Tamandua tetradactyla: one gene and its partner. The protein of the gene in region 2 interacts with the protein of the main gene of each other region in a pairwise test. Links are inferred from orthologs where the notes say so. Each region holds a gene or a part of one and is shown on either strand. Other genes may lie near its edges.

What was found.
Region 1: the proteins of NR1H2 (region 2) and NPY interact in a two-hybrid assay, tested with the Homo sapiens proteins (3 studies listed by BioGRID and IntAct). The link is inferred for Tamandua tetradactyla from reciprocal best matches to the Homo sapiens genes NR1H2 and NPY.

What each region holds. Positions count from the first base shown.
Region 1 is NC_135327.1:99,322,851-99,333,652, forward strand, and holds the start of NPY (pro-neuropeptide Y), read right to left. Parts: upstream 4,441-10,802; 5' UTR 4,394-4,440; coding exon 4,319-4,393; intron 3,877-4,318; coding exon 3,689-3,876; intron 1-3,688. UniProt on the Homo sapiens protein: NPY is implicated in the control of feeding and in secretion of gonadotrophin-release hormone.
Region 2 is NC_135342.1:10,831,247-10,841,389, forward strand, and holds the start of NR1H2 (oxysterols receptor LXR-beta), read right to left. Parts: upstream 4,315-10,143; 5' UTR 4,214-4,314; intron 4,022-4,213; 5' UTR 3,888-4,021; intron 3,354-3,887; 5' UTR 3,335-3,353; coding exon 3,292-3,334; intron 3,204-3,291; coding exon 3,072-3,203; intron 2,772-3,071; coding exon 2,481-2,771; intron 2,398-2,480; coding exon 2,102-2,397; intron 1,903-2,101; coding exon 1,723-1,902; intron 1,150-1,722; coding exon 1,050-1,149; intron 1-1,049. UniProt on the Homo sapiens protein: Nuclear receptor that exhibits a ligand-dependent transcriptional activation activity. Binds preferentially to double-stranded oligonucleotide direct repeats having the consensus half-site sequence 5'-AGGTCA-3' and 4-nt spacing (DR-4).

The DNA of each region.
Region 1 (10,802 bases), on a different chromosome or scaffold from region 2:
CTCATTTGTAAAAATAAAATCATCACCCCTTCTTAAATCAGTCTTTGTGTAGATCCAAGAGAAATGTGTGTCACAATGCTTTGAAAGTGACATTGATACACAAATGCAAGTTACTGCTGCTGTAATGCACTCTTTCTTTTACAGCTAGCAATAGCTCCTGGGTCCTATATTTCCCATTTAATTAGGGGTATCAATAGCCAAAAGCCTCCCTGACGCTGTGATTTTAACCTGCTCTGTAAATATCAGAAAGAATCCTACTAATCAATAAATGTTCTTGGTCTTTTTTCTCCTGTACCAGGATATGGATAGGACAATAAATTAGCGAAAATCATGTTTACCTGCCCAGGTTGTATATACTACCTGCTCCAGGTGAGTGAGTATTGTGGTGTCTCTCACTCCCTCTCTCAGCAAAGGATTTTGACAAGTCTATACCAAACTGCATTTTTAGAGTCTATTTTCTCTTTCACACAGCAGTTTCTTCACAGTTGAAAAATTAGCCTTTTCATGGAATCATTAACTAATAGGTAAAAGTGCTGGACAAAACTGAGAGAAGGTGCACCCTAACTGCCTAATGACCACAGTCAAATCTAAAATTTTGGTCAGGATTTTCCTATTATTGCTTCTCTGCTAAGATTCAAGGGAAGCAAAAACAAATCAAACCTGAGCCCCCAAACCTCCCATCATTTGTAAGATTTCCACCAAGAATTCTGGGGTTGTGGTATCAGACCATAAACTGCTGCCTATATTTATATATTCTGTCCATCATTGATTTTATTAATATTAAAACTCTGGACTAACTCATGTATCTACCTTATGCTCCATAAAGAAAAGAAGTGGCAAATATTTTCTGTGATTTACCAATAAAGAAGCTAAAATCTATAAGGGAGGATTTGCATAGGCCTAAAACAAGTAGCATCTAGGATAGCCTAGTTCACTCTTCTTCCTTTTCTTACTTCTGGACTTTCCTTCTTCTCTACTATGTGTTTATTGAGTCCCTAGGATAAAGATTCTCAAACCTGGCTGCATATTACAATCACCTGGGGAGATTCTTTTAAAGCCCTACAAAGCCCAGGCTCCAACTTCCACCCTCAGAGATTCTGATTTAATTCGGCAGGGATGGAGCCCAGATTCCTTGTATTTTTAAATCTCCCCAGGTGACTCTATTGTGCAAACATGATGGAGAAACACTAATCTAGGGCAGGGTTTCTTCTCAATTTCAGTGCTATTGACATTTTGGGCGGGGTAATTGTTTGTTGCAGGGGCTGTCCTGTGCACTGCAGGATGTTTGAATCCTGTCCTCTATTAAATAGATGACAGTAGCAACCCCCTCCAGGTGTGACAACCAAAAATGTCTCCAGGCTTTGCCGAATGTCCCGAGGGGTGTGAGAAGGTAAAATCACCCCCACCCAGTTGAGAACCCCTGTTGAGATTTGTATAAGCAAAATGTTGTAGGTTCATACTCCAGAAAAAGATGCAGTTTTCAGAAGCAATGAACTAGAGGTATATACAGCAGTAGGAATATGGTTTAAACACTGGGACTAAAGAGAAAGAGGAAGATAATGATATCTACATCAGACTAACATTTATGCCAAATTAAAACATATATTCACACAACGACACTATTTTCAAAGATGTGTATATCTTCAAGGATATATTGCCCAACACATTTAAGTGAGTTTCTGTGGTAGAAGGAATGAGAGTAGAGAATGGAGATGATGGGTGCAGATTATAAGCCTCTGATGTTTTCTAAGAAGGAATTTATAAGGATGATTAGATAGGTAAGACCACATCTCTGCTAAACCAGATGTAATTTTGTGTGTTAAGAAATTTTGTGAATTCTGAAAATAGAGAGCGAGAAATCTCTAAGAACAAACCTTCACTTTCTGGCCTGTACATGAACAAAGTGCCGTATCATTTCTTGGAAAAAACAAAGGAAGGACGGTGCCCCATGTGATCTCAACCTACTATTTCCTCTCAGGGTGAAAACATTCTACACTGGAAGCTCTGCCTCAAGAATGGCTTGTTCCCATCGATCCCACATCCCTTCCCAAGAAACTCAAGTCCCTTTCCTCTTTTTTTTTTTTTTCCTAATTAAAGATATTGGGGATCATGACTGCTAATGGTGGTGACAACATCCAAGGAAAATCAATAGGGTGGCTCCAATTCCATCACCCCTTAAAAAAACTTTCCATGAAATGTCATTAGTTTCATGATCTGTGAAATAGAGATACTTATACTTACTTCAAACCTTAGAGGGAAAAACTAAATGAGATAATGCCTGGGAAAACATTTTGAAATACTAAAGATTTATAAAAGGGCAATGATAATCATCTTTAAAAAATAAATTCTACTGTATAGAACTCTATTACTGAAATAATCAAAGGTTTTCCTAGAAAAAAATAACAGCTGTGATTTTTATTTAAAAAATTATTATTTGTACAAATCTCCCCCATCTCCAATCTGTATGATAGCATAAATGAGAATGTAAAGCAATAACATTATACTTTTCCCTAATTAAACATATCAGATTTCAAGGGATTACAAGACAATACTATACAATTCTGTCATTTTCATGTATTTCTGATGTTCTATAAATTGGGACTAAACACTTTTCAGGATGTTACACCCCTCTTTAATGAAAAAGTTAAAAGAAACTTTATTTTAAAAGTATAAATTTGCCCCCTTCGGAGTTTTTCATATTATTCCCTGACTTGTAAACAGTGAAAATATGGTTTAAAAAATGCTTTCTAAAGCAATTGAAACATGTTAGGTAACATTAATGCTTCCAACAGGCTCATACTTTGTATCTTATTCAAGTCATTTGACTTTAGACATTAAAATAAGATATGACTTAGAAGTCAGGGGAATGTACTTTGAAAACTAATGGCAAATCCTATATTATTTGTAAAATAGTTTGAATTTGCTTTTTTTTTTTGCCTACTATTCAGTGTTGAGAGTGAAAATGTGACATTTTGTTTTGACTTTCTGGGGGTTCAGAGTAAAGCACCAAGTGAACACTTTCTTTTCAGAATTCACCTGCTATAAACAGGACAGTCTGCATTTTAGATTATCTGTTTTCATGCTAAATCGCTCATTATTGGAACTGAAAGTTTCAAGTAAATGGTTGAGACTACAAACAAACAAACAAACAAACAAAAAACACTGAACAGAAGAAATAATATAGCCCTATTTTCTTCTCCTACCTATTATCCTTCAGTCGACCCTGGGTAGGTTGAAAAACCCATCAGTGTCTTTGACAACCCAGCAGTTTCCTTGAGGTTGTTTTGTTCTGTCTTGTTTTCTAGACACTTTCCTCCCACCTCCCCTCCAGCATTTTCCTGGTGCACTCCTGTCTGCTTTCACCGCGCTTTCCAATCCAGGTTTCTAATCAGGCCCCTATGCGCTTGAAGAACAAAATTGGCACGGGGGTGACAGGTAAAAGGAAATGGCCAGACACACAGTCTGGGGAAACAGGGAATCACGATTTTGCGACTGTAGTTTCAAACTGCAAGTGCAGTACCTAGTGGCCCACGGGCACATTTAGTGAATAGCTTGATTGCGTTTGATATTGTTCCTGGTTCTGGGATACAGCGAAGAAAAAGAAACGGTCCCGGTTCCTAAGATCCCCAGAGTCTCAGGCTGTGCAAGCGAGATGCACCTGGGACCGGGTACCGTCGAGTCCACTCACCTCTGCCTGGTGATGAGGTTGATGTAGTGCCGCAGCGCCGAGTAATACCTGGCCATGTCCTCCGCGGGCGCGTCCTCCCCAGGGTTGTCGGGCTTGGAGGGGTACGCCTCGGCCAGCGCGCCCAGGCACACCAGCAGGGACAGGGCGAGCGTCAGTCCGGACAGCCCCAGTCGCTTGCTACCCAGCATCTGTGACACAAGGCGCATCGGAAGGGGCTTCGGAATTCCGAGGTCCCACGCGCGCACCTCCCTGCTCTGATTCCACTAAGTCCCTCGGGCTGCTACCAACCACGACCCCCAATCCGCGCCCTTGACCTAGTCCAGCAGAGGGAACCCGAGCGTGGTGAGCTCCGTCCCGCCGGCTCAGGACTCTCAGGTACCTGCCCTGGCCGGGCCCTCGGCTTCTCCAGAAAACTCTGCAACTCAGTGGTAAGTCGCGCGGCTCAGGGTGGAGGCCCTGGCGCCGATTTGGATACTTCTAAACAAAATTAGAATTCCTCTCCGTGTTCTGAAGGATGATTATTTTCCTACCCTCATCTCCAAACCCATGTGGGTGGATAAAACTTTCTTCTCTGTTACTTCTGGTCCCTCTTGTGCAGGGAGGAACCTCGACAGTGATGGCTGAGCTTACCTTGGGTGGCAGATTTGCGAGGGGCGGAGGTAGGGTGGGGATGGAGGTGATCGGGGGAGAATTGCTCCCTGGCATAGCCAGTCTCGGTTTGGATCCCGATGATTCCCAGCACCCCGAGTGCCCGGGATTCTTCATTCAGGGGCGTTGCCTGGGGAACCTCCCTCCCACGCGCCGCTCTCTGGGAATTCTGGCGGCGACCCCCAGGAAAACCGCCACCTACTCTGGGATGAGGGTCTCGTATTTTCCCCTCCTTGCCGCCAAAAGATTACTCCAAAAGACCACCCAGCCGGGAGAGCCAGGGAGAAGAGAGAATGGACGATCACAGGGGATCCGAAGGAGCAAGTGAACTTTAGCAATCAAAATGGACTGGCGCGTGTCGGGGCTCGAGGGGCGCGCAGGGCCGGGGAGCCCGACGCGACTCTTCCAGGATCCCCGGGGCTCCCGGACACCGCAAAAAAGTGACAGAGCACCAGGGGCAAGTGAATGGGCGCCCCCTACGCTCCAGCTCCAGGTCAGGCTGGGGTTGGACACTCACTGTGGCTGGCAGGCCGGTGGTCGCGAGTAGGATGGGCGGCAAGTGCTCTGCTGTCAGGCGCGCCTCTCCAAGGGGTGTGAACCGGTGGATCGGATGTCTAGAGCCGTCGCAGCGGGGCTTTTATGGCGCTTCCTCGCCGCAGCAGGAGGGGCCTTGGGCAATTACGCTCGGGTGACTCCCACCCCGCAGCTTCCCGCCTCCGACTCGCGGCGGGGGGAGGGGGCTGGAGCGGCAGCCGCACAAGCTTCGCCTTAGGAGTCACTCCTCACATTCCAACTCCGCCGCCCTCAACCCTGCCCAGGGAAGGGGGTGTCGCTGAAGATGCAAGCGAGCGCGCGCTCTCCTAGGCTCCGGGGAACACTAAAGTTCAAAACCCTGCCTGTCCGCGAAGCCCCAAACCCCTCTTTCTTTCATGCCCGTCTAATCCTGCCGAGATCAGTAGCCGTGAGGCAAGGCGCAGCCCAGGTCATATTTGTCGCGGTCCCAGAGACCACCAACCGTTTGGACACCCGAACAGGGATACCCAAGCCCTTCAATTGGGTGGAGCAGCTCCAGGAGCCACTCGGCAGCTACTCCGGGCATAACTCCGCGCTTTTGAAGGAAGTAGCAACTAGGCGAACAGATTTTCCTGCGCTTAATGCAGGTCAATCCCGGCTACCTGAAGTCCAGAGCTAGAGGGTCCAAATGCCGCCCCCCGAGAGATTGAGAACCTACTTCCGTGACTTCGGCCTCTTTGGCATCTTTCCCCAGCTAATTATTCTGGGAGACCAGCTTTCCTCAAGTTCTCGCCCAAATGCAGCGAGCCCGGCTGGATCGGCACCCCTAAGGGTGTGGAGATTCAGAACTCCAGAAGCGAAATACAGTAAACTCATTTCCCCGATTTGCTGGAAAAGAGCCATGCTTCGAGAGTCTGGAGACCCTGTACAGCGCAATCGCTAGAAAAATTTTGGTCTGCAGTGGCCGGTAGTTAAATGAGCAGCAAATTCTCCTTTATTTGCTAGAGCCAGGATAGTCTTAAGTATGTTCAATTAACGTGGAATGAGAATGTAAGTTATAACTGAAATGAAAACAGGTAAAAACAATCAACGTTAATTTGCACACAGTATTTGTTGAATGAACATGAAAAACCACAGAAACTATTTTTAAAGGATCAGGATTTTATGTAGTAGACTGTGGTCTTAAGGTTCTGAAATTAACACTCCTAGAAGGTTGACTGTTACTAAGATTCGATGTTAGGAAATCAAAACTTTGTTCAAGTTGTTTAAATGCTAAATAACAAGGGATTCGTTAAACGGCCACTTTGTTTTTGTATTGTTTGGAGAGCACTGAATTAAATATCAATTACTACGCACTGAGCAGTGCTAACACACACAGACACAACCAACCAGATTATAAATTTTGAAGACCCAGATTGCTTTCTTTCAGATGACTGCTTCCTTTTCCATATAATTTCTCTGTTCCACATAAAGTGACAGGAACACAAAGATCGCAGCTCTCAGTGGAGCTCAGAGGGCATTCATCGGAAAGAACTTCTGGTAAAACAGCAAAACACCATTCACTGTAGGGCTCTTTCTTAACAAATGGAAAGGCACAGTCCACTTTTCCAAAAAATAATCTTAGTTTTAGAGTGTGTCATAGATTCACATGAGTTAAGCCTGGACCTAGAAGGAACCATTGAATTTGGGAGAACTTACTTCTGAGGACATATGTCACTCTCCAGTGGGAAGAACTAGGCAACTTCAATTAATTTAGATTAAGATAATGTCACTGGTATCCAAGAATGAGAACTTATTCCCAGGGTTCAGCAAATGGAGGATAAAAAAACCACGAGGGGAGCCCTGCTGGTAGGAGTACAATAGTACCCTCCTCTCTAGTCCAAACTAGTCCTTGCCTTTCTCTGAACATTCTATCTCTTCTCTCTCAGAACCTTGCTCCATCAATTACCTCCACTTTTTCATTTAGTTTCCTATTCCCTCCCTCAGTTTACAAACTTGCTTGGATTTGTACCAGAAAAGACACAAAGCGAAACCAAGACCCAGAAAAACAAAAACAAAAACAACGGTTGCTCAACCCAGCATCTCCCAGCTGTTGAGCCTTTTCTTTCCTTTGTTTCAAAGTCTTATTAATTTATTATCTATTTACTTATTTCAATTTCATTAAGGTATGATTGAGATCCAATAAGGAACAAAAGTTTAAAATATCCAATTTGATAAGTTTTGACATACACACACATATATACAGCCTAGGATCCATCACCCAAGTCAAGATGAGAAACATACCATCACCTCTAAAATTTTCAGGTTTCCTCCTGATTCTTTGTACTTCTCCCCTCCCTTCCACCTCTCCTTGCCTTCCTCCTCTAGGCAACCACTGATCTGCTTTCTGTCATTACAGATTCATTTGTATGTTCTAGAATTTGTTTATAAATATAATCCCGATGTATATATATACATGCACACACACACACCTTTTTGGTTTGCCTTTTTTCATGCAGCATCTTTATTTTTAGATTCACCTATGTTGTTGAATGTATCAGTACTTCATTCTTTCTTATTGCTGGGTAGTATTCCATTGTATGGATAACCCTCAATTTTTTTTTTTTTTTTTTTATTTTGTCCACTTAACTTGGGTTGTTTCCAGTTTGGGTTATTACAAATAAAGCTACTGTGAACATTAATTTATAAGTGTTTGTATGGATATAATGCTTAGGTGCTGAAAGACTGGGTCATATAACAGGAGAATGTTATCCTGCAGTCCTACAGTTCACTGAAAATCTGTTTTACTTTGTTTTCTTAACACATCTTTTCCTCTTTGTATTTTATTTTGAATAGTTTGTATTGCTATGTCTTCAAGTTCACTAAGCTTTTCTTTTGCAGCATCTAATTAATATTGATCCTGTCCATTGTAGTTTGTACCTCAAACCATATAGTTTTCATCTCCATAAGTTCAATTTGAATCTTTTTATACCTTCAATGTCTTTGCTTAATACATTCAATTTTTTTCATATACATTGTCTAGTTTTGTCATTATTTCTTATATATTATCTAGTTTTTTAGTTTCAGCTAGGAGGATAAATCTGCTATCTATTTCATCATGTTAATAAGGAGTGGAAGTCTCATAGCAAAGTTTTTTTGTTTTTTAAAGATGTTCCTTTTTTAAAAAAATATTTTTATTGAGAAGTCTTCACACACATACATTCCATACAATTTGACTTGCCCTAACTATAATGTGCCTATTTCCTGTCACTGGACCTTGCACATGCTATTTTCTCTCCCTTCCCTTGACTCTTTGCCTAGCAAACTCCCACTAATTTTGGAATTTCACTTTCTGGGTCATTTCTCCATGATCCTTCACTCTAGATTAGGTTTCTCTCCACCCCACCCATTGTATGGTCCCATAGACCCTAAAACTTTCCTTTAAAATTTCTTTGACAGCTGTAATTGTATAGTCAAGTACATAATCACAGGTGGTATTTGTTTGATGTTTGTAATGTTTTATAAATGTAAGCTCCATGAGAGCAAGGGTGTATGTTTTATTCACCTTTATATTCCTAATACTTAGACTAATACTTGACTCTTAGTAGGAGCACGATAAAAATTTGTTGGATTAAAATGAGATTTGGAAAGTCATTATATATACTATTTGTGGCTGCAGCTTGTTAGGTCTTAGAGGGCCAACAAATAGCACTGCAGATGTAAACTGATTGATAGGAGTCAGACAGATGGAGATTAGAATACCAGATTATCACTGGTAAAACCTGGATTGGAGAAATTGCCTTAGCTCTATAGCAATGGAGGATTTGCTAATACTTTATTCCAGAATGTAACTGACTTGCCCACCCAATCCTAAGCAAGTTTGGACCACCAGGAGATACTAGGTCTGCCATTAACTGTGTGACTTTGGGTTAGTCACCACCTTTCTGGAAATGGAATAAAGTATTCTCAGTTTGTATTTTGGAAACAAACCAACTCTAGTGTTCTAGTCTGCTAGCTGCTGGAATGCAACACACCAGAGATGGATTGGCTTTTAGTAAAAGGGGATTTATTTCATTAGTTCTTCAGAGGAAAGGCAGCTAACTTTCATTTGAGTTTCTTTCTTATGTGGGAAGCCACAGGATGATCTCTGTGGCCTTCTCTCCAGGCCTCTGGGTTCCAACAACTTTCACCAGGGTGATTCCTTTCTACATCTCGAAAGGCCTAGGCTGAGCTGCGAGTGCTGCAATGAAGTATGCCGACCTGCTTGGGCTGTGTTACGTTGAGCTCTCTCATTTAAGCACCAGCCAATTAAGTTAAACATCATTCATTGCAGCAGGCACACCTCCTAGCCAATTGCAGATGCAATCAGCAACAGATGGCTCATGTCCACAGCAACAGAACTAGGTGCCTTCACTTGGCCAAGTTGACAACTGAATCTAACTACCACATGTCCACCTCTTGTCAACTTGGCAACTACATGCATCACCTTAAACAATATTAAGGTGCAAATAATTCTCTTCTGGCTGTGGATCTGTGAATCTCAAAACAAGTTGTCTGGTGCCAATATGCAAAGGAGGATATTTACAGGATGCGGGTTTTCATTTCCATAGGGAGAAATTGGAAGAAACACAGATGTAAAGCCTGCAGGGCAAAGACCATTGGATTTCAAAGTCTGAAAGTCATTTATCCTTTGGCTTTAGAACGTGGCAGTCTCACCCTTTCCAAGGGTCTATGCAGTGGCCTGCCTCTTTCTAAATAAACCTTGGGGAACATTATGGAGACCACCTTTTTCTCGGCTCCACTCTCTCCAGGCATCAGGACCTCCCCTGGGCTCTTTGCCATTTCTGGGGCACATGTTCAACCCCTCCATCTGGTGGCAGCCAGACTCTCCCCAGTCCCCAAGGATCATGCTATACCTTTTTCAAGGCCTAAGGCTGCACAACTCTTCCACTGCAACAAGGTGGGAGACTCATCCTCTGCCCTCAGGGCAAACTCACTCTCTCCATGTATATGGGTGGGTCCACTCTCCTGGCTGACATTCCTTGGCTTCAGACCCGAGTTTCCATGGTTCTCACTCTGCAAACTCCAATTTGTCCCTTTGTATCCCCCTTTGTCCAGACTGGCAGTAGTTCCATTTACACCAACAGTCTTGTCAAGCACTCCAGGAATTCTCCATCATTCTCTTCACAGTTCCTCCAAAATCTTCCCCTTAGCCATCCAAAAAACCATTCCAACATATCTGTTATTTGCAAACCACAGCAGCACCCCACTCCTGGTACCAGATCTGTTCTAGTTTGCTAGCTGCTGGAATGCAGCACACCAGAGATGGATTGGCTTTTAATAAAAGGGGATTTATTTCATTAGTTCTTCAGAGGAAAGGCAGCTAACTTTCATCTGAGGTTCTTTCTTATGTGGGAAGGCACAGGAAAATCTCTGTTGGCCTTCTCTCCAGGCCTCTGGGTTCCAACAACTTTCACCAGGGTGATTCCTTTCTACATCTCCAAAGGCCTGGGCTGAGCTGCGAGTGCTGAAATGAGGTATGCTGAGCTGCTTGGGTTGTGCTACATTGAGCTTTCTCATTTAAGCATCAGCCAATTAAGTTAAACATCATTAATTGCAGTAGGCATACCTCCTAGCCAACTGCAGATGTAATCAGCAACAGATGACATTCACATACTCATGTCCACAGCAACAGAACTAGGCACGTTCACCTGGCCAATTTGACAGCTGAATCTAACTACCACATCTAGTTTCCTTTAAATGTTTACTTCAAGAAAGTCTAATAAAACAATTTTTAAAAGCTTTGTTTCCTTTTTAGAATTATATTGAATGGCTTCATTTAACACATGTTTATTCAAACAGCATGCTTATAACTTATGTGTTAACATTTTCTTTTAGATGTTTGCATTCAAATAATGTAAAAGAATAACTACTCCACAATTTAGTAAGTAGTAATAAAATCAGTTCACTACTT
Region 2 (10,143 bases):
CAGGCCACAGGGTAGACTTTGGCTTTTGAGTGAGAAAGAAGCCATCTGGGGTGGGGATGGGGATTCCAAGCAGAGGAGAGATGTGAGCTGACTTGGGCGTTAACAGGGTCCTTCTGACTACACTGTGGAGAACAGACTAGATCAGGCTGGCGTGGAGGCCAAGAGACCCTGGAGGGACCTGCAGTGTTTCAGGGAAAGGTGACTGAGGCCAGGACCAGGAGGTGGCAGAGAAGCAGTGAGGAGCAGTGGGGTCCCTGGCCTCCTCTCCAGCCCTCTCTCCCTGTGCCCTGGATGCCTCAGTCTCCCTGCAGTTGCTCAAACACATCTGGCTCTTCTCCACCTCAGGACCTATGCACATGATCCCCTTCTCCACCCCATCCCCACCACTGTAAACACTGGAGACCCTAAGGACTCCCTGCCCAGGCCAGGCTCATACTCAAAGGGTTTCTGGGACCATCTTGGGTGGTATGGAGGGTGGGGGATTAAGGAATAAAAGGAGTTGGGTCTAGGAGTGGATGTTTGAGAAAACAGAGAGGGGACTCAGGCAGAGGCAGCAGAGAAGGTGGACTCGCCAGAAAAGTCCAGAGAAGGAGCAAAGCCTTTGTGCCTGCTGTGCCTTAGCGAGCAACCCTATCCCCACCCCCTTTTCCTCCGCAATGCCTCTCCTTCCTCAGGCCTCAGTGTAACTGCGTCTCCTGCAGGGAGCCCACCTGCCCACATCACAGACCCTAGGGGAATACTGTCGGAGGGCAGGGACTGCGTGGGTCGTGCACTTCACTGCAGACCGACACCCAGCCTGCCCTCCCTCCGCTGAGACGGAGACCCAGTGGAGAGTGGGGATAGGGTTCTTAATTCCCACCAAGATGCCCCACGGGGGAACAGAGACCCTGTGACTCATGCTCTACTGGGTCTGTTGTGCACACAGCTGGCACTCAGTGGAGGCTGAGTCCAGAAGCCCCACTGCCAGGTTGGCTCCCTCTCCCCTGCCCCACCCCCCACCTCAGGAGGTGCAGAAGCGGATGTGTCAGCCTCCACGGGCCACAGCCCACCTGCACGGTGGAAGTCATCTTTGCTGTAGGTGAAGTCCTTTAGGAAGGTGATGCATTCGGTCTCATGGTTGTAGCGTCGGGCTGTCTCCAGAAGCATGATCTGAGGGCACAGGGGAACGGGGTGGGCAGCGGCAGGCTGCAGGGACCCCTGTGCCCACTTCTCCTGGCCCTTCCACCCCCCACTCACTCAGCCCCACTGGCTCAGGCCTGCACCCGACACACTCCACACTTGTCCCTCCTCCAAGCAATATCACACTTGTGCCCACCACCCAAAACTCACTTTCCCCAGACTCTGGCGAGGCAGGCAGGGGGGCTTTGGATTTGCTCACTGCTCTATCCCCAGCACCTAGGACAGGGCCTGACATAAAGCAGGCACTCAGCATCTACTTGTTTGATCCTGACATCAACCCTTCTGAAAAGCCTTCTCAGCACACTCTCTCTAAATGGGTCCCTTCAGTCCATTCAACTACTCCCCACCTTAGCCCTCTCCCCTTTCTCTCCTTGGGGCCACACAGCCTGACTTTCTTGTTTCTGTGTTTGACGTAATCTTCTCCCAAGAGGGCAAGGAGAGGGGGTTCCTGCGTGCTGCTGTTCCCAGCACCTGTCCTGGGTTTATTTGGAGCTCCTGGAAGCCGAAAGGGAGAGCCCACAAGGCTGGGCACTCAGCCCTTACCTCAATGGTGGACGCCTTCAGCAGGGCGATCTGGTCCTCACGGCCCAGCTGCATAAAACCGGGCACCTGCTTAGCAAAGTCAACGATCTCCTGGACCGAGATGATGGCCAGCTCCGTGAAGTGGGCGAAACGCTGCTGGCGGGCATCGCGGGACTGGGGGTCTGCACCCAGGGGCCAGGGCTGGGGACATGGGGACTATGGTCACTCCCAGTACTCTTCCCTTGAGCCCAACACTGGAGGGCATCTTGAGGCAGAGCCTGCACCTGGGGGTACTCTCCTCTCAAAGCCCCTGGACTCTCAAGCCTCCCTCCCTCCCCAAGCCCTGGGCTGAAGCTAGCCAGATGCTACTTGCTCCTTGAGGCGGTGGAAGGGGCAGTACCGTGACTTTGGGCTGATCTGAGAAGGAACGCTTGTTGCACTGCAGCTGGGCTGCCACCAACTGCTGGATCATCAGTTCCTGAGCCGCCGTCAACTGGACCCCTTCGCCTTCCCCACAGCCCTGGCTGCTGGCCTCTGACCCTCCAGGAGAGGCCCCAGACCCAGGGGCTGAGCTGCTGCTGCTGCTGCTGCTGCTGCTGCCCCCTGGCCCCACGGGCGACTGTTGCTGCTGCTGCTGCTGTTGCAGCTGCTGCTTCCGAATCTTTTTTTTCCGGATCTGTTCTTCAGAGAGGACGCCTGTGGGGAGATGCAGGCCTCAGCAGAGGTCCCAAGCTGGGTGGGGACCAGACTGGCTCTGCTCCCTCAATCCCAGCACTCACACTGCTCCCTCATTCCTGCCTCCTTGCATTTGCGCAGCCGGCACTGCTGGCACTTGCGCCTCATGAAGGCATCCATCTGGCAGGTGCCACCGCCCCGACAGGCATAGCGCCCAGCCCCACCGCGGACCACACTGCGCCGGAAGAAGCCCTTGCAGCCTTCGCAGCTGAGCACGTTGTAGTGGAAGCCAGAGGCCTTGTCCCCGCACACCCGGCACAGTTCATGGCCCAGCATCTTCGGAGCCGGACCCTTCTTCCGCTTGCGCTCTGGCTCTTCCACTGGGTATGGGGTGACTGTGGTGGGTGGACAGAGATCGTGAGGAGAGCCTCAGAGAGAGCACCCAGAGAGGTCGGCCCCAAGGAATTCCAACAAAGAACCAACAGACAGGAAGAGAGATGCATATACCCAGGGAGGCAGGGATTCAGAGGAAAAAAGAGGTGTGGGTGAACCCCAAAGAATGAGTCAAAGTAAGAGATGTCAAGGAGGAACAGAAGGGAAAAAATCCCGTCTCACCCTTCCAGTCTCTGCACTTTCTCCCGAAATCCCTCCCAGACTCCCCAGGTGAACTTCCTGACCCCTGGGTCCTGTCTCACCCACACTGCAGGCTGAGCCTGCCCCATCAGTGCCTGGGACATCAGGGTCCGGACCCCCAGTCCACGGCTCTGGACCTTCTTCCTTTATGGCAGGGGAAGAAGAGGGGACACCGGGCTGAGGGGGTGCATTTCCTGGGAGAAGGGAGGAAACAGAAGGAGACTGAGTGAGCATCTTCTGATTGTGTGTAATAGAGGCTGGGTGGGAAAGGAGGTCACTCACCAGGCAGGGGGTTGTCCAAGGAACTGGTGCTAGGAGTGGACATGGTGGGGTCACGGAGCAGCCTACAGAACAGACAGGGTTAAAGAAAGGGCTTGTGGGACCACAAGGGGTCAGGTGGTACAAGTTACCAGCCCGACTGGGACCCAATACCTTCCTCCAACTCCATCCAACTTCATTCAAACTCCACCCCAGCCCCAGGCCAGAACCCTACCAGCATACAAATCCTCCCCTCCTAGTCTAGCAAGCCACGCCTCTTCCCCTGCTCCAGGACAGCTTCCAGCCACCCGGTCCCTATCCCGCCCACCTGCCGGTTCCAGGTCCCACCCCTTAATGATGCCCCGCCCTCATTTCCTCCCTTCCCTCACACCCCACCTACTCCCACTCAGAGACTCCACCTCCCACAAGCTACCCCCTCTCATCCTGACCCCACCTCTTTCCATCAGGCTCCGCCCATCATGCACAGCCCATAACCTGGCCCCAAGCTCACGCCATCAGTACCCCTCCCAAGCCCCGCCCCATTACTCGCTCCAGATCCCGCCCCAGCCCGCCCATCATGCCCTTGGCCCCACCTCCTTCCATCATGCTCCGCCCCTCACCTCGCTCCAGGTTCCGCCCCTCTCCGAGCGCCAGTAGGGGGCGGGGCTCATGGCTGCTCACGGGGGTCTCGTAGGCGGCCTCTTGTGGGGGTCTCCGGCTCCCGTTGCTTTGGAAACAGCCGGGGCGATGCGAGCTACGGAGGGGAGAGAGTGGAAGAAAGGCTGAGCGGAGCAGCGCAGGGGACGCCGGGAAACGCCGGGCCCGGGACTCCTCCGGCGCCCCTCTGCCCTCGGGTGCACCTGCCTTCGTTCCCGTTTCTCTGCTTCTCTTCCTCCGCTCTGTCCCCTTGCGCGCTACCACTGCTTAGGTCCCCTCCAAAACTAACTTCGCCACTTCTTCCGGCAACCCCGCCGTGCGTCACTTCTAGTCAAGGGCGGGGAGTGAAAGGTGACGGACTTCCGGTCCGCCCAGAGCGGGCCGAATCGGTTGCCCCGAACGGAAGTCGTTTCCTCACCGGAAGTTTACCCTGGCCGGGTAGTTCCCCTGGGGTCCGGCGGGAGAGTTCCGGGCCCTTTCGTGTAGCTATCCAAGCGCCTGGCTCGGTTTTAGCGCTCCTTGGTGTAGCTGCATTTCGCAAATGGCTGGTTAACCCGTTTTTGTCCTTTTTTGGGTTAACAAGTTTTCGGATTTTAGAGATGTGCTGCTTGTTGGTTTTAAATAAAACTACAATTCTGCATCCAGAAGATGTTTTGTTTTGTTTTGAATGATTTAGGGATTGGAATATTTTTTTAAAACTTCCCCTTACAAAAAAAAAAAAAGTAAGAAAGCTCTTGAGGAAATTCTAACAGGTAGAAGATGGAAATTGTTCTACAGCCTCCCCCTTCCATATATGCACATTTGTAAAATTAAGTGTAAGAATATAAGATCTATACTCTTTTTGTAGCTTGTTTTGTCCACTCAATAGGATAATACAAAGATCCTTCTGTGTTTAGCAAATGCTACTCCCCAGTCTGAATTTATAGGCCGTGAATGTTTCACCCAAAGAGGTTACCGATAAAGAGAAGTGGTTATCGTGGGCTTCGGGGTCAGAAGGAATGGGTGCCCCTGCCACTTCCTTGCTGTGAAACTTTGAAGTAACTTAACCAACCTCCCTGCGCCTCGGTTTTCTCATCTGTAAATTGGAAACGAGGAAAGAATCGACCTATTGCGTTGTCATTATGATTTACTGAGAGGTAAAAAATATGAATTGGATGAGCTCGAGGGAGAAGCCCTGTATGTTGGCGCTATTGTTTAGTCCTGTGGGTATTAAGGTATTAGAACAATGCAAAAGACTGTTGACGAATTACTGAAGTGTGAGGGCCAGTTACGTCATAGTTGGCCCTCCTCTAGAACAGATATGATTATTCATATTTCTTAGGAAGGATGAAAGGATTCAGGGAGCATAGTGTCTGACGTATAGAAGCATCCAATCAGCCATCCTAATTGCAGATGAGTGTTCTCACTTGTAACTGACCCACTGTCCACGAAGTTTTTTTTAATGCAACTGTGTTGAGAGATATATTCACGTACATAGACTCATCCAAAGTGTACAATCGGTGGTTCACAGTATCATTATATAGCTGTGCATTCATCATCACAATCGATGATGATTGAAACATTTTCATTACTCCAAAAACAATAGAAATAAAAGTAAAAAAGAACACCCAAAACATCCCATGTCCTTCCCTTAGTATTTATTTATTTTTGACTTTATTTTCTTGCTCATCTGTCCGTACACTGAATAAAGAAAGTGTCTGTCACAAGGTTTTCACAATCACAGGGTCACACCGTAAAAGGTATAAAGTCATACAATCATCTTCAAGAATCAATGCTACTGGATTACAGTTCAACAGTTTCAGGTATTTCCCTCTAGCTACTCCAATACACCAAAAACTGAAAAGGGATGTCTATATACTGCATAAGAATAACTTCTAGAATGACCTCTCAACTCTTTGAAATCTCTCAGCCACTGAAAATTTATTTTGCTTCGTTTCTCTTTTCCCATTTAGTCAAGAAGGCGTTATAAATGCCGTAATGCCAGGTCCCAGCTCATGCCCAGGAGTCCTGTCCCACGTTACTGGGGAGATTTACACCCCTGGGAGTCATGTCCCATTTAGGGATATCCCTCAACTTTCTTTTTTTGTAGGCAAAAGTAATAAAGTTTATTAAAAGAGAAGTTTATTAAAAAGAGAGGGTACACGTTAGAGAAGTTAACCCGTGCGTGCCCAAGGGGGGACACCCACTGAATGGAGTGGGCCAGCTTGTTTTATAGGAAAGTTTTATCGGTGGTGGGTTTCCATAGTAACCTTTAAATAGTAGATGTCTTCTTTATTCTAGGAGGACATAGCTAGCAGAATTCATGGTTTCTTATCACGAACCTAAAATTGTCTTTGGGCAAATGGTTAACAATCTTTATGTCCTTAGGTTTCCTATTATTAAGTAAGAGTTTGCTTTGGGCCCAGAATTTTACAAGATTTTATAGTTTGGGGAGGATTCAATGTTTTGGGGATGTTTGGGTTTTAGTGACATTTTTGTCCCGGGAGATTTGCAGCTGAAGTCTGCAGCTCTGAGTTAGATCCTCGGAGCTAGATAAGAAACAAGGGACTTAGAGTTGCCTGTTAACTCTTTCAGAGCTGAATAGGAAACCAGGGACTTACAGTTGTACTATTTTATCCTGCTTCAATCTGCTCCCTGAAAGAATTCAATCTCTTTAATCTTAAAGGGGTTGAGGGATAACTGTTTGATGTTTTCAGAGTTGAGAGAGTACATGTGGGAATGCGCATAATTGCTAACAATGATGGAAGGGCTGGGGGATGTTGGAAAATACAAAAAAATCATTATAATTCACCCCATCCCACCACTCTTACAATCTTTGCACCACTTCTTCCACATAAGTCCCTGAGTGTGGGAAAGGGAGGTTACAGGTTTACAGCTTGCAATGCTGAGAAATGAGGGGGAAAAAAAAGCATTTGGGGGAAGGCAAGTACATTTAGAGCTGCTTTGCCTCCCTGTTCATTTATTTTGTCACATAATTATGCCCCAGTCACACTTGAACGTGGACATCTGTCCCATAAGCTGGTATACAGTTGAATCGGGAGTTCTTTAGTAATTTATCCAGATTGAGCTGTTCCAAACAGATGGGCAGGTCCTGTTTAGATGTACTCTTGCTTCTTTTAGAAGTCTTTTTTTGTTGAAGATGATTTTCTCATTTGTAGTTGACTGCAAACAGAATGCAGGTCTCCAGGACCAGTGTCTTACGTAGAAAATGCTGCTCTCCTGGGATCTTTTGGGATCACTCCTGCCAGGCTCACCTGAATATGTAACCAGTGCCCTGCCAGCAATGCTGCCAGCTGAGCTCCGATCAGGTTCAACAGTCTTGAAACTAAAAGAATTTAGAGATGAGAGGGACAGTAGGCATAAATAGTAAAGTTTACTGAAAGAAGTTGATAAAAAAAAAGAGAGAGTATGTGTTAGAAAGGTTACCGTGGGTAAGCCCAAGGGAGGGACACCCCTCAACTTTTAAAAATAGTTTTGTGGAGATGTAGTTCGCATACCATGCAATTCACCCATTTAAAGTGTGTGATGCAACGGTGTTTAGTGTCTTCACAGATTTGGACAACCATCAATGTGGGCAATCATCACGATCAATTTTAGAACATTTTTATCACCCCCGAAAGAAATCCCACACTTATTAGCAGCCAATTCCCATTCTCCTTCCCCCCTCCAGCCCCCACCCCAAACTTCTGGCAACCACTAATTCACTTTCTGTCTCAAATAGACACATACAACATGGCGCTTTTTGTTACTAGTTTCTCGCACTTAGCATGTTTTTTTTCTTTTTTTATTAATTTTTAATTTTTTTAAAAATATAACAACAAACAAATGCAAACATTCTTAATTTATGATCATTCCATTCTACATATATAATCAGTAACTCACAGTATCATCACATAGTTGCACATTCATCATCCTGATCATTTCTTAGAACATTTGCGTCAAATCAGAAAAAGAAATAAGACAACAGAAAAAAATTCATAAATGCTATACCCCTTACTCCTCACTTTCATTGATCACTAGCATTTCAATCTAAGTCAACCTAAGTCAGACACAAGGTTTTCACAATCACACAGTCACACTGTGAAAGCTATAGCATTATACAATCATCTTCAAGAAACATGGCTACTGGAACACAGCTCCACATTTTCAGGCAGTTCCCTCCAGCCTCTCCATTACATCTTGACTAACAAGGTGATATCTATTTAATGCATAAGAATAACCTCCAGGATAACCTCTCGACTCTGTTTGGAATCTCTCAGCCATTGACACTTTGTCTCATTTTGCTCTTTCCCCTTTTGGTTGAGAAGGTTTTCTCAATCCCTTGATGCTGAGTCTCAGCTCATTCTAGGATTTCTGTCCCATGTTGCCAGGAAGGTCCACACCCCAGAAGTCACGTCCCACGTAGACAGGGGGAGGGTGGTGAGTTTGCTTGTTGTGTTGGCTGGAGAGAGGCCACATCTAAGTAACAAAAGAGGTTCTCTTGGGGGTGACTCTTAGGCCTAATTTTAAGTAGGCTTGACCTATCCTTTGTGGGGTTAAGTTTCATATGAACAAACCCCAAGATTGGGGGCTCAGCCTATTGCTTTGGTTGTCCACACTGCTTGTGAGAATATCAAGAATTCAACTTGGGGAAGTTGAATTTTCCCCCTTTCTCACCATTCCCCAAAGGGAACTTGGCAAATACTTTTTTATTCACTGTTCAAATCACTCTGGGATTTATCGGGGTATCACTCTGGACAAACCAACAAAAGCTCATGCCCTACTTCAGCTTCCATGTACTTAACAATGTTCAATTAAGCTGACTACATAAGTTATATTAGGAAATGCACTAATCAAAATATAATTTTTTGTACCAAATAAGCATTTTTGTTTTAGTCTTACATAAAAGTTAATATTTTAAAATATTTATTACCATCTATTTTCAACACCCTGCAGTAATGACATTCCTTTGCTCTTCTTCACGCAAAAACATTTTTTTGATTTGTACACTTAGTCACCATCATTATACGCTCTAGACTTAGCATGTTTTTAAGGTTTATCCACGTTGTAGCAGGTGTCAGTGCTTCACTCTTTCTCATGGCTGAACAATATTCCAATCGCATGGACGTACCACATTTTGTGTATCCATTCATCAAGTGATGGACATTAGGGTCATTTTCATTTTTTTTGACTCTTATAAATAATGTTTCTATGAACATTTGCGTACATATTTTTGCATGAACATGTGTTTTCATTCCTCTTGGGTACATGCTTTGGAGTGGAATTGCTGGATTACATGGCAACTCTATGTTTAGTGATTTGAGGAATAATCAGACTGATTTTCAAAGCAGCTTCCCATTTTTCATTCCCATCAGCAGTATAGAGAGGTTTCAGTTTCCCACGTTCTCATCAGCACTTGTCGCTGACTGTAAATTTGATTACAGCCATCCTATTGGACACGGAGTTATATTTAATTGTGGTTTTGATTTGCATTTCCCCGACGGTTAACATCTTTTTTCAAATAGCTTTTTTAATAGAGAAGGTGTAGGTTACAGAAAAAATATGAACCTCTCATATCCCCTTCCCCTATTATAACACAGGGGGCTGGTGTGATACCTTTGGTACAACTGATGAAAGAATATTATTGTAATTTTACTATTAATTATTGTCCATGGCTTATATCATGGTCCCCTGTTTGCAGTTTTGAGTTCTATATAGTTTTATTTTTTATTTTTTATTTATTAATTTAAAAAATTAACAACAAACAAAAATATTAACATATCATTCCATCCTACATATATAATCAGTAATTCTTAATATCATCACATAGTTGCATATTCATCGTTTCTTAGAACATTTGCATCGATTTAGAAAAAGAAATAAAAAGACCACAGAAAAAGAAATAAAACGATAACAGAAAAAAAGATTATACATACCATACCCCTTACCCCTCACTTTCATTTATCACCAGCATTTCAAACTAAATTCTATGTAGTTTTTTAAAAAACATTTTTGTTCTAACATATATACAACTTACAATTTCCCTTTTAAACCACATTCAAATACATAATTTAGTGGTGTTAATTACTTTTACAGTGTTGTGCTAAAATCACCACCGTCCATTACTAAAACTTTTCCATCACCCTAAACAAAAACTCTGCACCAATTAGGCATTAACTCCCCATTCCCTGCTACCACCACAGCCCCTGGTAACCTGTACTCAGAATATGAATTTGTTTA